4 linked regions of the Daphnia pulex genome follow. The protein of the gene in region 1 binds, or shares a complex with, the protein of each later gene. Links are inferred from orthologs where the notes say so. Each region holds a gene or a part of one and is shown in the gene's direction. Other genes may lie near its edges. The genes, in order: eukaryotic translation initiation factor 3 subunit D-like, eukaryotic translation initiation factor 3 subunit L-like, eukaryotic translation initiation factor 3 subunit J-like and eukaryotic translation initiation factor 3 subunit I-like.

Evidence for each region.
Region 2: eukaryotic translation initiation factor 3 subunit D-like (region 1) and eukaryotic translation initiation factor 3 subunit L-like share a complex: the UniProt entries of both Homo sapiens proteins name them as parts of the eukaryotic translation initiation factor 3 (eIF-3) complex. The link is inferred for Daphnia pulex from reciprocal best matches to the Homo sapiens genes EIF3D and EIF3L.
Region 3: eukaryotic translation initiation factor 3 subunit D-like (region 1) and eukaryotic translation initiation factor 3 subunit J-like share a complex: the UniProt entries of both Homo sapiens proteins name them as parts of the eukaryotic translation initiation factor 3 (eIF-3) complex. The link is inferred for Daphnia pulex from reciprocal best matches to the Homo sapiens genes EIF3D and EIF3J.
Region 4: eukaryotic translation initiation factor 3 subunit D-like (region 1) and eukaryotic translation initiation factor 3 subunit I-like share a complex: the UniProt entries of both Homo sapiens proteins name them as parts of the eukaryotic translation initiation factor 3 (eIF-3) complex. The link is inferred for Daphnia pulex from reciprocal best matches to the Homo sapiens genes EIF3D and EIF3I.

What each region holds. Positions count from the first base shown.
Region 1 is NC_060023.1:3,616,111-3,620,138, reverse strand, and holds eukaryotic translation initiation factor 3 subunit D-like, read left to right. Parts: upstream 1-1,228; 5' UTR 1,229-1,374; coding exon 1,375-1,482; intron 1,483-1,542; coding exon 1,543-1,795; intron 1,796-1,852; coding exon 1,853-1,920; intron 1,921-1,979; coding exon 1,980-2,107; intron 2,108-2,178; coding exon 2,179-2,311; intron 2,312-2,375; coding exon 2,376-2,523; intron 2,524-2,584; coding exon 2,585-2,709; intron 2,710-2,773; coding exon 2,774-2,986; intron 2,987-3,045; coding exon 3,046-3,188; intron 3,189-3,247; coding exon 3,248-3,516; intron 3,517-3,838; exon of another isoform or gene 3,839-3,880; coding exon 3,881-3,891; 3' UTR 3,892-4,002; downstream 4,003-4,028. Other genes in the region: cytochrome b-c1 complex subunit 2, mitochondrial-like, read left to right, coding at 1-6, 74-513; L-allo-threonine aldolase-like, read right to left, coding at 4,004-4,028. UniProt on the Homo sapiens protein: mRNA cap-binding component of the eukaryotic translation initiation factor 3 (eIF-3) complex, a complex required for several steps in the initiation of protein synthesis of a specialized repertoire of mRNAs.
Region 2 is NC_060018.1:1,452,540-1,456,662, reverse strand, and holds eukaryotic translation initiation factor 3 subunit L-like, read left to right. Parts: upstream 1-1,272; 5' UTR 1,273-1,418; coding exon 1,419-1,442; intron 1,443-1,503; coding exon 1,504-1,703; intron 1,704-1,770; coding exon 1,771-1,982; intron 1,983-2,043; coding exon 2,044-2,163; intron 2,164-2,225; coding exon 2,226-2,335; intron 2,336-2,393; coding exon 2,394-2,564; intron 2,565-2,627; coding exon 2,628-2,798; intron 2,799-2,859; coding exon 2,860-3,006; intron 3,007-3,069; coding exon 3,070-3,233; intron 3,234-3,293; coding exon 3,294-3,462; intron 3,463-3,526; coding exon 3,527-3,661; 3' UTR 3,662-3,744; downstream 3,745-4,123. UniProt on the Homo sapiens protein: Component of the eukaryotic translation initiation factor 3 (eIF-3) complex, which is required for several steps in the initiation of protein synthesis.
Region 3 is NC_060019.1:7,843,293-7,846,530, reverse strand, and holds eukaryotic translation initiation factor 3 subunit J-like, read left to right. Parts: upstream 1-1,178; 5' UTR 1,179-1,243; coding exon 1,244-1,265; intron 1,266-1,398; coding exon 1,399-1,493; intron 1,494-1,737; coding exon 1,738-1,797; intron 1,798-1,860; coding exon 1,861-2,053; intron 2,054-2,141; coding exon 2,142-2,312; intron 2,313-2,375; coding exon 2,376-2,566; 3' UTR 2,567-2,640; downstream 2,641-3,238. Other genes in the region: secretory carrier-associated membrane protein 2-like, read right to left, coding at 6-134, 201-282, 343-444, 504-611, 781-837; coiled-coil domain-containing protein 39-like, read left to right, coding at 3,202-3,238. UniProt on the Homo sapiens protein: Component of the eukaryotic translation initiation factor 3 (eIF-3) complex, which is required for several steps in the initiation of protein synthesis.
Region 4 is NC_060019.1:6,193,282-6,196,748, reverse strand, and holds eukaryotic translation initiation factor 3 subunit I-like, read left to right. Parts: upstream 1-1,425; 5' UTR 1,426-1,572; coding exon 1,573-1,575; intron 1,576-1,641; coding exon 1,642-1,888; intron 1,889-1,954; coding exon 1,955-2,237; intron 2,238-2,303; coding exon 2,304-2,505; intron 2,506-2,570; coding exon 2,571-2,819; 3' UTR 2,820-2,957; downstream 2,958-3,467. Other genes in the region: regulator of telomere elongation helicase 1 homolog, read right to left, coding at 1-36, 96-209, 281-607, 692-982, 1,049-1,150. UniProt on the Homo sapiens protein: Component of the eukaryotic translation initiation factor 3 (eIF-3) complex, which is required for several steps in the initiation of protein synthesis.

The sequences.
Region 1 (4,028 bases):
GTGCAGGTAATCATATTCCCCTTCTTCCCACAATTAAAAAGTCTATCAAAATAACTCCTTTGTTACTGTCTAGGAATCCCAGTTAAATATGGTTCTGGAGCAGGATCAAAACTAAACCAAGCAGTGTTGGGTGCTGGTGCAGTTTCTTCCTTGAATTTGAACTACTCCGATGCTGGTCTATTTGGGTTCGTGGCCGCTGCCCCAGCCTCAGATGCCGGCAAAGTTGTTTCCGCCGCTACAAAAGTTTTGCGATCAGCTTCAGTCAACGAAAGCCAATTGAGCCGTGCAAAAGCCCAACTTAAAGCCGACTTGTTGATGGCCAAAGAGAACACTGGTGTGTTAGTTGAAGAGTTGGCTCTGCAAGCGCTTCTCAACCGGGCTGATCTTCTTTCTACTGTCGATAATGTTTCAATTGCTGACGTCAACGCTGTAGCTTCCCGGTTGGCTTCTGCCAAGCTAACTGTCGCTGCCATTGGAAACCTGAGCAACGTCCCGTTTGTCGATGAATTATAAAATTTTGAATAGGTCTCTGAATTATAATGTAGTCTATATCTATATTTGCACAGTGGCCCATTAGAAAATATCCAGATCGAACGGTTAATCATTCTTAAGAGCTGAAAGAATACACGTGCCCTGTACAGAATATCCACAGTTTCTCTAATCACTCTAATACTGAAAAATCTTACCTCACAATTCCTCTTTATGTTCCTCTTTCGCAAAATTAAGATTGATACGTCATTCATTTAAAAAACGAAGATACATGGAGGAGAAAGTAATGATTCTCTACTCTCGAAAGAAAATTTGTGCTATCTTCGAAAAGACAACAATAATATGTAATTAAAAAACATTTCTCTCTAGTGGGCTTACTTATATTTTAATGAAGTGTGGGGTTTCCGTGATCTTACGTTCAATCTGGTGTAACTTTCTAAAGTAATGTAACATATTTCTTCATCTGAGTCTGAGCTTGACTCTGGAGGGATTTTATAAAAAACACCATATTCCAGATCAGAATACATTTAGTCATTTAGTATTCTGGCCATTTTTTTATTATATTTTTTGTATTTTTTAGCTGATTTAAGATTTTCATACTTCAGTATCTTATTATAATTGCGTCTAAATTAAAAATTTGTGATTGAAATTAAAGATATGCTAATTCGGAATTATTAGGAAAACAGTGGAAAAAAGTAAAGCGGCAGAAAGGTATAAACATCATTTTCAACAATGGCAACAGTGGTATACGTAGCATCCGGTACTAAAATGGCGATTACCATGTTCTAACTTGTAGCAAGCTGTCAGCCAGCCGGTCTAGTGAGAAAGTGCCTACGACTAAATTCTGAAAAGTTATTTTCATAAGGTCACGTTAAATTGTATAACATGGCGGCGCATTTTGTTCCACCAGCGACTCAAGACAATAATGACGGATGGGGACCTTTAGGTATTCCCGACCGCTACAAAGATATGCCATATCAACCATTCTCGAAGGTAACGTTTCATTGCCGAATTTTGTATTAACTTCTTCTGATGTTTTGTTTAATTTATTAGATGTCGGAATGGGCTGGTGGAAGCAGCATCAATTATTCCTTTACAGACCGCAAGTATGGTGGTGGAAAATACTCTGGAGGGGCTGGTGGAAGCCAGTATGCTTATCTGCATGATGAGGAAGAGAACAGCTTTCAGCTTGTGGATACTGCAAGGACTCCAAGACCAATGTATGCTAGAGGAAGATTCCTTCGCAACCAACGGCTTGCAAGAGGCAGACAAAACTTTAGGAATTCTCAGCCTGTGCCACTTAAAGGTAAAGTGTTCAAATAGCAATTAATAGCAACAGATTGTTTATACATTTTCTTTGAAGGTGGCAAGATGAAGGATAACCGAATGAGACAGACTAGGAACAAGTGGAATAATAGAGGACCTCGTCAAGTAAAGCTTCTCACCTTACCGATTATTCAGTCTCATACTCATTTTTTAAAAACTTGTAGGGCCAAATTCAGGTTAAAAACCGTGAATCATCAGTTATTGTTCAGCCTTCATGGAAAATCATTGAAGAGATGGATTTCCCCAGGCTCAACAAACTTTCTCTGCGTCTTAGCAAGGAAGCTTCTGATTTGTAATCAACTATTTAAACTAAAACCTTTCACATGCTGATTTTAAAATAATGATATTATTTTATTTTTCCAGACTTACTTGTGGTGAACTCGAGTTTTATGATAAGCAGTACGACCGCGTAACTGTGAAAAATGAACGAAGACTGCAAAGAATTGATCGTATTTTTCACAAGGTCACCACAACTGATGACCCCATTATCCGCAAAGTAAGAAACAGTAGTCACATTCAAGTCTTACGCGTGGTAGTATGCTAATTCTCAAATTCATTAGTTGGCAAAAACTGAGGGTAATGTCTACGCAACTGATTCCATCTTGGCTACTTTGATGTGCAGTATTCGCTCCAACTATAGTTGGGACATAATCGTCCAGAAAGTTGGTGGCAAACTGTTTTTTGATAAACGTGATGATTCGGAATTTGGTACGTACCTTTTGGCCACTGAGGGAGTTTGCAATGATCTATAATCTTCCCTTTTCCCTAGATCTGCTAACTGTATCCGAAACATCCAATGAACCTCCTCAAGAAGAGGGCATCAATAGCCCACGTAATTTGGCACTAGAAGCGACCTTTATTAATCATAATTTATCCCAACAAGTCCTGAAGATGGTATTTATAATAGGTTTTATAAAATGGCATAAATCCCTAATTTTGTCGTTTCATAATCTTGTAGGGAGAAGAAAAATTCAAATTGGATGAGCCTAATCCCTTCATTTCGGAAGATGAAGTAGGTGAAGTTGCCTCGGTGGCTTACCGTTACCGTAAATGGGATTTAGATGGGGGTGTTGTTCTGGTGGCACGTTGCGAACATGACGCTGTCACCGTTGGATCGGCTGGTGATAACCAATTTATCAACATCAAAGCTCTTAATGAATGGGACTCAAGGGTATGCATATTCACTGTTCGTAATGAAACTGTGTCTTTAAAATGATTTTGTACTTCAAGTTGTCTGGTGGAGTCGAATGGCGCCAGAAACTGGACACTCAGCGAGGTGCTGTTCTGGCCAACGAGCTGAAGAATAATGCATGCAAGCTAGCAAAATGGACTGTGCAAGCTCTGCTCGCCAACTCTGATTGGATTAAATTCGGGTATGTGAAGACTCCTGTTGTCCCTCGAATATTATTGTAACTAATATTGTTTACTTCAGATATGTTTCCCGTATGCACTTACGAGATACATCGCGTCATGTAATCCTTGGAACACAGCAGTTCCGCCCGTCAGATTTCGCATCGCAAATCAACCTTAACATGGACAATGCTTGGGGCATTCTCCGTTGTATTATTGATTTGTGTATGAAGGAAGAGGATGGCAAATATTTGTTGGTGAAGGATCCTAACAAGCCCGTCATCCGCCTTTACAAGGTGCCCGATAACACGTTTGAGAGCGACGATGAAGCATTTTTCGAAGAAGGCGAAGGTTTGTAACCAATCAATATCGTAACGTGCGTGTGTAACTGCTGGCTTGCTTTTTTTGCTTGGGTGTTGGCCTCCCTTTTTTTTTTACTAGCAAAGATTAAATAAACACGTCCAAGCAGTTAATCAAATTTCCCTGCATTTGTACGCCGTGTTACGTTTTGCTTGAATTCGTAGCTCGAGCTTTGTATATATGTATAATATCTAACCACTAGTGGAAGTGCTTGGCTTCTTGGGGGAAAAAAACCTAATTAGATACGCGACATGACTTAAGGTAGCTTTAAAAAAGGCGCTATTAAACGCATGATTTCATAACGTCAACCACGAAATGGTAAATAATAATGTATTTATTTTTTACACATGAATAGAAGACGAGTAACGGCTGATACAAACAAAAGAACAGCTCTTCCACCAATTCCCCAATCTACAACAGTACTACGTTTGTAATGATCGTTACATGGAATAAAGCACTTATGAAGCTTCCAGTTTACTTATACAGCTTTACTTTGTTTGATT
Region 2 (4,123 bases), on another chromosome or scaffold:
TGAAAGAGAAAAACTCTCAAGTTTAACGGTCAACGTGCCTCGCGCTGGAATCCTCTGGATATGAATTTCCGTTTGCAATGGGACTGGCATTTATAACCTCATGAACAGCCTTGGGTGCAAGAGGGCGGAGCTTGATTGTGTTGCGCATTGCCATTGGTCCACGAAATCAAACATGAAAGCCAAATCCTTATTGGGAGATTCGAAATTTGCGTCCGCGCGTTTCGGTTATTTTTTGCTCCTAGAGATGCAGAGTTTATATGTTTCTGTATATAGTTGGCTGAATATTAAAAAACGGAGATATGACCCAATCAAAATTCTAAATAAGTAGAGAAATATTTGCAGGGCAACGTTTTTGGTTTGTCTCTAGTTCCTTTTATTGAACGTTATAATCTTAAACTTCAAAAAATGCCTGCTTCCATTTAAGTTCAGTAAAATATTAGAATTAAATATAAAGTTTCGATTAAAGATAAGATAACCCACTTATTGTCATCGGTGTGGCGAATATGGTAAGAAATAACACGCTTTGAAAATTCATTCCTTTTCCGTGGTTGGTATGTGATTGAAATATTGCCAATTACGTCTCTAAAAGGAAAGAAAACCGGGAACCGTATAAATTCAAAAACCAGTTTGTACGGCATCATGGTTTGCGATTTTCGAGTTGATTTCAAAGTAATAAAACCTGTTCGGCACTATTAACCATTGACTCCAGCATAGTTTTATGTAATCCTGCTTAAATGCATTAGGCATAATGGTCACATGAAACCACAAAACACTTATTCCAAACATGGCAAATAATCACCATGACAGCAGTACACACATGTATGCCGGTGAATCACGCGACAGGGGACGAGCCGGAGCCGGCGAGAAACGTAAAAACTCGGTCCCAGTTGTAGCAGACCTCTGCCAGACACGATCAATACTTATGTGTCTAGACAACCCATCCTGCAACTGCAACAAATCCACCTCAGCAGTGTTTTTATGGTTCCTGGGAAACACAGCCTGAATGCAGCTATTGGAGTGCTTGATGTCTTCATCCGTAAATTTGAAACAATTTTGGTAACCATTTTCTTTGAATATTTACTTCCTGATCAACTTTTGATCATGATTTGATATACTTGCTATAAAACAGAAAAACAGAATTGTAATGGCAGTCCCGTTTAGCATTGAAATCTGTTAAGTTTAAGGTAAATTAATCTCAACCGGAGTAAATAAGTTTGACGATCGATTTTTACATTCGAATTTTTGACAGATGATCTTTTGGAAAATTGTTGAGTACATGCGGCAACGCTGTGCAGCTACTATTATTTGACACTAGAGCCACTAGTAATCGAAATAGTAATCTTACTCGTGGACTTTTCTCAATTTTCCGCAATTTTCAATTGAAATTTAATAACTATCGGTATTGAAAAACCTAAAAGATGTATGCCGAAGAATTTGAGGATGTAAGTGTACAATAATTACAACATGTTCTGTACCTATCATCAAAAACTTTTTCATTTGTAGTACGAGTATGAAGCCGATGCCTATGAGCCAACCGGGGATCCACGGCTTGATGCTGAAAATGAACGATACACTAGCTATGGAAGTGCTCCCCAATATGCTCAATATAGCATGCCGGATGTGATCAAGAAATTCATTATTTATTTTCGAGAGATGGTAAACTCTGGAAAGTTGTATGAAATTCAGAATGTCTACGAGAACACGTAAGCCCACCACAGTGCCTGTCAGACAAAGTTGAATTGTTGATCCATTGTTTTTTACTCCATTTAGATTTCCAAAATTAACTGAAGAGCACTTCAAATCATCCCCTTGGCCTGATGCAGATGAAGTTTCCCCATTAGTGGATGATGATCAACCGTTTCTGATTCTCTACAAGGAACTTTACTATCGCCACATTTATGCACGAATCCAAGGAGGACCAACAATTGAACAACGTTTTGAGTCTTACTACAACTACTGTCAACTTTTCAACCATATTTTGAGTACTAACTTCACTAATTTTTAGATGTTTGCCCAAAGCCTTCATAAACCATTTTACTACAGGTGCTAAAAGTCCAGTTGTTTTGGAGCTTCCTCATCAATGGCTGTGGGAAATAATTGATGAATTTGTCTACCAGTTCCAGTCTTTTGCTCTTTTTCGTTGTTCTCTTCATAAGAAATCAGGTACACCCATCATCTTATGCTCCATCTTTTCTTTTCTCACCATTTTTTTTTTTTTTTTACAGCTGAAGAACTTGAATTCATCAGAATCAACCCAACTTTGTGGAACATTCATTCTGTATTGAATGTGTTGTATTCTTTGGTTGACAAATCCAATATCAACCAACAATTGGAAGTAAGAAGGAGAGAATCATTATTGGTTGTAATTTAAAATTAATACAATCGATATGTAGGTATACGCCAAAGGTGATGATCCCGATACCGTAGCAGGAGAATTTGGCCGCCGACCTCTTTATAAAATGTTGGGTTACTTCAGTCTTGTTGGATTACTGAGACTCCACTCATTATTAGGAGATTTCTATCAAGCTGTTAAGGTTCTTGAAAATATGGAACTCAATAAAAAGGTAAGCGCAAAATTAAAAATGATTTGCATTGCTTGTAAACGTAATCCATCAATCTCATTTTAGACTCTGTACTCCAGAGTACCTGCCTGCCAAATCTCAACTTACTATTATGTTGGTTTTGCTTATTTGATGATGAGGCGGTATGCTGATGCTATTCGGACGTTTTCCCATATTCTACTCTACGTCCAGCGCACTAAGCCATTATACCAGGCTAAAACATACCAAAATGACCAGGTCAATTAGATTTAAGTGAAATGAAATACTGAAATCTTAATCTCCTTTTTTGTGTTTATAGATCAACAAACAAACCGAAAAAATGTACGTTCTACTGTCGGTGTGCCTCGTTCTTCATCCTCAGCGCATCGACGAATCTCTACAGGCGATCCTGCGAGAGAAACCTCATGCCGAACGCATCGTGCGGATGCAAAAGGGAGAACTTCAAGTGAGTTTCTGTTGATATTTTTTAAAGTTAAAGCAACAATTTAAATTTGTTCAATTATGTTAGGAATTCGAAAATGCATTCGCTTTCGCTTCTCCGAAATTTTTGTCTCCTGTTCCACCTCCTGTCGAAGCACCACCTGCCGATCATCGCCGTGAACCATTTCAACAGTTGGCAAAAGTTTTCATGGATGAAGTACAACAGCAACTTACTTTGCCAACGATTCGCAGGTATTTGTTCAACATTAGATTTGAATGTCCGAGTATTATTAACATAAATTTTCTGTTTAGTTATCTACGTTTGTACACTACTATGCCTGTCGCCAAAATGGCTGCGTTTTTGGAAATGCCCGATACTGATTTCCGCACCCATCTGCTATGCTTCAAACATAAGATGAAGAACGTCGTTTGGACTAAAGGCACCTCTGGATTGGACGGTGAACTCCAATCAGGCTCTGAGGTGAAATATCTTAGAATTGTAGTTCTAGTGGAATGTATCTTATTTACGCTTTTGCTCGCATTAGGTGGACTTCTATATCGATGGCGGAATGATCCATATTGCTGACACGAAAGTAGCTCGGCGCTATGGTGATTACTTCATTAGACAAATCCATAAATTCGAGGAAATTAACCGCGTATTGAAGACACAAAAAGTTTAAAAATCCGATGCTTTACCTCCTTTAAATATGTTTTACATCTTATTGGTTTTTCAAAGGCAAAATACATAACATGGAGGAAGTTAGTGATTTTTAACTTTTTTTAAAGAGAATTTTTTTCTTACCTTTAAGTCCGACAAGTTACAAGGAAGTCAAATGAAATGAATGTAAGGCCACCAGTGATGTTATGTACGTTTCTCTTATTTTTGAATGTATTCAAATGATAAGATTATTTTTATTAGAGAACATTTTTTAAATAATTGGACCGAAGATCTTACTAGAAATGTAGACCATTGGCATCCTCATAGGAAATGTAAAAAAAAAAAAATGCTATCTAAAATCAAACAAGGGGAATTCAAACACACAAGGGCAATTTGAAAATTTTCAGTTTCAGTCAAAGCATCAGTAGGGAATATGAGTTTTTTTTTCATGAAAAAAAGCACTAACAAAAAGGATGACACGCAT
Region 3 (3,238 bases), on another chromosome or scaffold:
CTTACGCATCCAAATATAGTATAACATGCGGACAATTTTTTGAAATTCAAGTGGGATTTCCACATTGATGTCTTGATAGAAGCATGGTTGGACACAAAACTTGTCAGGCAGTGGTGGCCAATTATTGCGCTGAGCTGTAATGAAGAAGTAAATAACAGAAATTAAAAAGTAAAGTTTCATTTAAATTTGTTCTCTCCTACAGTTGAATGGTACATTATTCTTTAATTCTTCTTCTCGCCTCTGCAATTCTTGAGCTTTCTTCTCTAGTTCTTCTTGACGTCTCTATAAAACCATGCAATATAATGAATAAAGATTTCCTTCTTTCTTTTTAAGTTTTAATACTTGAAAATCCGCATTTGACATAGCTGCTTGTTGTTGTGGTCCTGGAGATATCACTGGGGCAGCTTGAATTGTTGGGGGTGGATTGGCTCCACCAACACGGTCCTTAAATTTTGTAACAAATCAAACACACTTCCCACTTTCATGATAAAATTATGTTTTACCATTGAAACTCTGGTAGTTTGATTACTACCATCAAAAGGGTTGTATTCTTCAAGACCTTGCTGAGCTCTCGCAGCATTGTTTCCTGCAGCTTGCTGGACAGATGGATCCTATTGTGAAAGTAAACAACCACTTTACCACTAAACTAATAAACAAGGTGATTTTTCAAAAGGTTTTCTTTCATATTGTATGCGGCGAGTACTCCATGAATCACCAGTTTTCAACCAAGGTATTAGTATGGTAATAGTAAGTATAATATACATATTATAAATAATCTACCGCAAACGGGTTGAAAACAGCCGGTTCTGCAAAAGGATTCTGATCAAATCCAGACATTATCAAATATTTCTTTTTTTAACTTCGGTCACTTTGTTACTCCAATTTGCGGTAACTTTTGTTTCGACGGTCACCGTGAAACGTCAACTCAACTAATACAGACAGAAACTCCTATCAATTGCTAAATAACAGGTAATGTCAGAGAAAAGCAGTTCGGAAACAGGCAAACACTAGCGCCTCTGGAAGACAGAAACACTAGACTAAGCAACGCTGGGATTAACGAGATATCTCAGGTAAAAAAAATTAAATAATTCATAATAAAAGGTTTGCAATAAAGTTTCAAAATTTAATTATTGTTAGGTTTCTATATTTAATATTTTGTAATGCACATATTAACATTATTAGAAAAGTGAAAGCATTTGGCAACTGCCATGGACACTAGTGTGTTCACGATTTTTCGTTGAAGATGGAGGCCGAGGCGGATTGGGGTGATTTTATTTAATTATTTCTATATTAAGTTATTCAATTCCACCTGTTTTTTGTATGAAATTCTCAATAGTGCATATCAAAGTTCCATTTAATCGTATACTCTAATCAAATACGATTTTGTGGTGATTATAGATGCCGAAGATTTTGAACCCTCTGTCCCTGTTCCAGTTACGACTGCCATAATTTCAGATAAATGGGAAGGTGAGGATGAAGATGAACCTGTCAAGGTGAGTTGTAATTCAATTGTGATGATATTAGTAGTAAGTATATCTACAAATTTGGTAGAACCTTGTAGCGCTTGTAGTGAAAAAAAGTTCTCTCAGTACCTTTCTATTTCTGCTCCAATTCTTACAACTTTCACTTGACTACCATGTGTCTTCTTTTGCCAAAAAATTCTTATTGCTCAATGAGTTTTACATAAAGTTGTGATTGATTTCAAAATTATCATTTTTTCTTGTTTATAAATGATAGGATAGCTGGGAAGATGAAGAAACAGAAAATAAGCCTGCTGAAGTCAAAGCAGCAGCCACAGTAAGTACATGTGATCTCTCGTAAAAGTATCCAAAAAATTTAAAATGTGTTTGTTACTTTCAGGCTACCAAAAAAAAGTCAAGTAAAAGATTAGAAGAAAAAATAGCCGAAAAAGAAAAGAAAAGCAGAGAAGAAGCTGAAGCCAGAAAAATATTGCAGGAAGCAAACATGACACCTGAAGAGAGAATAGCAGAAAAGCTTCGGAGACAAAAACTAGTTGAAGAATCAGATTTTGAAATGGCCAAGGAAACCTTTGGTAAGTTGTCTTAGGAAACTGTATTGCTGACCTGCACTAAGCATGATTTGTTTTATATTTTGTTCTCAATGTTATTTTTATTTTCCAGGAATTACTGGTAGTTTGCCTACAGAGGGAAGCATAGATGAAGCAAACCCTTCATCTAAAGAGGAATTCTCAGAATTCAAGAACAACTTGGTGAAAAAACTTCAGTCATTGTCAACTAAAGCGTGCTATAATGATTTTATAGAGGACTTCATTAAAGATGTTTGCATTGGATGTAAGTCACATTTTCTAATGTTGGTTGCTAAAAACTTTTCTACATCCCAGTTTTTCAACATAGTGGAAGTCGAAGTCCTTAGAAAAGTTAGTCTAACTACCAAATCCTTGCACGAAGAAAAACTCAAGATGGTGAAGGCGGCGACAAAAGGTGGAAAGAAAGGAAAAACAAAAGTTGCTTTAAAAATGGACAAAGGAATGGTCGACAACTTCGGTGATGATTTCGGAGGAGGAGACTATGACGACTTCATGTAGGGTCCAATTGTTTTTCTTTTGTTTTTGGCGGGAAAAGGTTTATTGGTAAAATAAATGTATGATTTTGCCATTTTGCTCTTGTCAGTTTTTTCAGTGTTTTAAGATATATTGAGATTGAATTTCTGTTAAAAGTTAAAACCTCCCTCTTAATTATTCTAATTCAATATATAGAGTTAAGTTGCATATTTTCTTAGACGTTCCAGTTTTCTACTTTTAGCGTCAAAAAAGGAGATGGTGACAGTTGTAAAGTTAGATGTAGTTAGATGTATTTGTCCCATTGAATGCTACACACTGTCAAAAGTAAGCAAATAACTTTCAATATTTATTTTTTTAAATTTGAGTTTTGAGTACCCCGCAAATTTGTATACTGGTGAATCCTTATTTGATACCCAGTGGGCGTAAGAGAGGGGATTAGGGGGGTTTTGTTTTTAAAATGTAATGGAAATCGTTGCCGTGGCAGCCGGCTGCATGCCTAATCAATAAATGAAGCACGTGCGTTTCCTGCTGAGTAGCAGACTAGTAGTGGCATAAAAGTGGTTGTTTGGTCGATACTTCTAACTCGTTATATGGCGTTTCACTGTGAGAAAGTTCGTTAATGAATTTCTGGAGTGATAGAGCACAAGTTGAGCAAGAAAATGGAACTAAAAGAAGTTAACGGAGCAGAGTTTTTGC
Region 4 (3,467 bases), on another chromosome or scaffold:
ATCATTATCACTGTTTTCTCGGAATTTTTTCATGACCTGGAGTAAAAAGAACGCTAGAAGAATATACACCACATAATAAAAAGGATGTCGTTTACCTGGGTGACTTCATCAACACAAAGGGCTATATCTAAACTTCTAAGTTCAATAGATGAAGATTCTTCACACATTTTCTCAACATTGTGGGCCTCATCAAATATAACAATATTTCCCTAAACAAGCACAAAAAAAGAAGTTAATATTTCATGCACCTTTAAAGACTACTAAATGTACTGGGAATTACCTGGAGTTCAATGTTGTGAATTTTTCTCACTTTAGGATCAAGAAGGTAGTTGTATGGCATAAAGATGATGTCAGCTACCTTACGAATTTCTTTTGTCATAAAATAAGGGCAAGCAGAATGTTTTTTCCCCAAAGTCACCAAGTCTTCAATATCCAATACATCCATTTTGAAGTCTGGTTCCTCTTTCTTAGCATCTAGATTTGTGTGGAAGTAGCAAGTACGAGTAGTAGTTCTAGCATGGCACATGTGAAGCTTTACAGCATTGTTTGTTTCCTTTGACACTTCTGGATGAATGCACAGTTGGTCACGAGATCCAAGGATGCATACCTTAAATGAAGAAAAATAAAATAAGGGTTATCAAAACCCATTTCATGTAGGCAAATAGCTTTAATGGAAGAAGGAAATGCTCACCTTCATATATCTGTAAGAGGACCGTTTTAATTCAGAAATGACCTGGCTGAGCTGAGAATGAGTTCTGGATGCATAAATGATTTTGGGTACTCCAGCTCCAGGAGTAGCAGCATCTCCCCATCCAAGCCCAGTTGCATTACTTAATTGATTTTTAATATCCACTCCCATATCTCCAGCTAATTGACCAGACTGTATTTGTGCTTTTCGTGTTGCTAACCAACCCAATGTCGAACAAAGTAAGCACAAAGTTTTTCCTGTGCCAGTAGGAGATTCCAACAAACCATTTACACCCTATTTAATCAAGAATAACAAAATAAGAGCAAGGTGTCCACTGACCGATAACGCAACACTAGTTACTTTTTGAAGACATTCTATCACACGCTCCATGAATTTCTCTTGTACATCATAAGGCTGGAATGGAAATTCAATGGGAACATTATTTAAAACCAAATTCACCATTCTAGATAAATAATTTTGGTAATTGTGTTCCACGAGACACACGCAATGTGAAGGAACACGCAATGTGAGGGAACCCGCCAAAATAGTTGAATGAGAATAGCAGACGATGTTAAAACTGCTTTAACTTCCCTAGCGAGTAGCGCCCTCTGAAACAAATCGAAAAGTAAAATTATTTTTGCTAGTGTCATTTTAACGTTACGCGTGATTAAAGAATAAAAATTAATTTTTTTTTTTTTTGTATAAAGTTTAACAGTTTTGATAAGATTAAAGATGGTTCGTTTTTTGGTGGGTGGGTGGCAACACTGTAAAATCGAGCAGGGCCGGCAGACGAGTGTTGTAAAAACGTCGAAAGGCCTCAGTCGCCCCACGCCGAAAGAAGTGTACGTCATTATTACAGTTGTGACCAATTAATATAAACAAAAATGGTAATTTTCAGTGCATTTCTGTTATTTAATTTCATTATATTAATCCACTGTTATTGTTGATCACAGAAACCTCTTATGCTTCACGGTCACGAGCGTTCAATCACGCAAATTAAGTACAACCGGGATGGAGATTTGCTCTTCTCGTCAGCCAAGGACAACCACCCTTGTGTCTGGTATTCAGTCAATGGAGAACGATTGGGTACCTACGAGGGACATCAGGGTGTCGTATGGGCGATTGATGTTGATTGGGAAACTAAACGTTTCATGTCTGGTGCTGGTGATAATATGCTCATGATCTGGGATGTCCAAACTGGTATGTTCAGTGAGAAATGACCCCATTGCGTAATTACGACTTAAACTTTTCTTTGTTTTTTTTTAGGCAAGGCTTTGGGTAAAATTGAAGCCAAGACTTCAGTTCGTACATGCAACTTCAGTTACAGTGGAAACATGGCCCTTTACTCAACAGACAGTACTATGGGTAACCCTTCAGAGATCTTCATCATTGATGTCAGAACGGTTGACTCTTCCTTCAGTGAAAATGACCCCATCCTGCGAATTCCATTAACTAATGCCCCTAAAGCCACATCAATGGTTTGGGGTAATCTAGATGAGGTTGTTATTTCTGGTCACGACAATGGTGACTTGGCCCAATGGGACCTCAGGTGAGAATGACATTGTCGTAACCTTGAGTGCTTAAAACTAAATCCTGTTTATTATTTATACTACAGAACTGGCAAGAAGAACAACCTGGTTTCAGAACACGCCAAGTCTATCAACGACATGCAGCTGTCCAAAGACGGAGCTCTCCTCATCACTGCATCCAAGGATTGCACTGCAAAACTCTTTAACGCCGAAACGTTAGAGTGCCTAAAAACTTACAAAACTGAGCGACCCGTCAACAGTGCCGCCATCTCACCCATCATGGATCACGTATGATCCTTGAGCTTCTAAATGATTCAGTTGATCGATTCTAACTGTTTTCCTTCAATCTTCAGGTGGTGTTGGGAGGTGGTCAAGATGCCATGGACGTAACGACGACCTCAACGCGTGTCGGCAAGTTCGACGCCCGTTTCTTCCATCTGGTTTTCGAAGAAGAATTCGCTCGTGTCAAGGGCCATTTCGGTCCTATCAATTCTCTGGCCTTCCATCCCGACGGAAAGACGTACGCCAGTGGTGGTGAAGATGGTTACGTTCGTTTGAATCAATTCGACCAGTCTTACTTTGACTTTAAATTCGATTACTAAACCAGAAGAAAAGCGAAAAACCTACGAAGAACCCAATCCATCATCTATGAACACTTGTCTTGTGTTTATTTTTTGACCACTTTCGTGTACATGGGCGATATAAGAGAAGGTATTTGAATACATCATGTTGGAAAGGTCTCGAGTGAGAATCTTTTTTGGGGGGAAAATTTATTTCTCAAGAGAGGGCACGAGACGAAATTAAGCGTATACAAACAGGTTCGAGTCGCCTGTTTAAGAGGAGAAAACATAACTGATATTGTTTACAAACAATTCTTTTGAAATCTTTTTCTTCTGACGAAGTCCATTACAGGGTTTACGATATTCTAATCACCTACTGTTGCGCATCCCAAGAAAACTTGGCATTTTGCGAAGAGAAAGAGCTCATCAGTTTCCTTCTGGTAGAAGTTTTAATGGGAGACATTCTTGTCCCAGCTGAACGCATTGGAACTTATTACGACTCTAGCGTCTTGCCAACATGGTCGGGACTATCTCGAGCGACAAGGAATCATTGAGAAGCTCGCCGGTAATTTGGACGAGGCTCCTGCAGATCCTCTTGCCTCGCCTGCTCGTTCCCGGGCTTATGAAATTTATCGGTTCGCTGGCTCATTTTCAACCGGATGTATTAGCCAGATATCCGAACTTTACAAA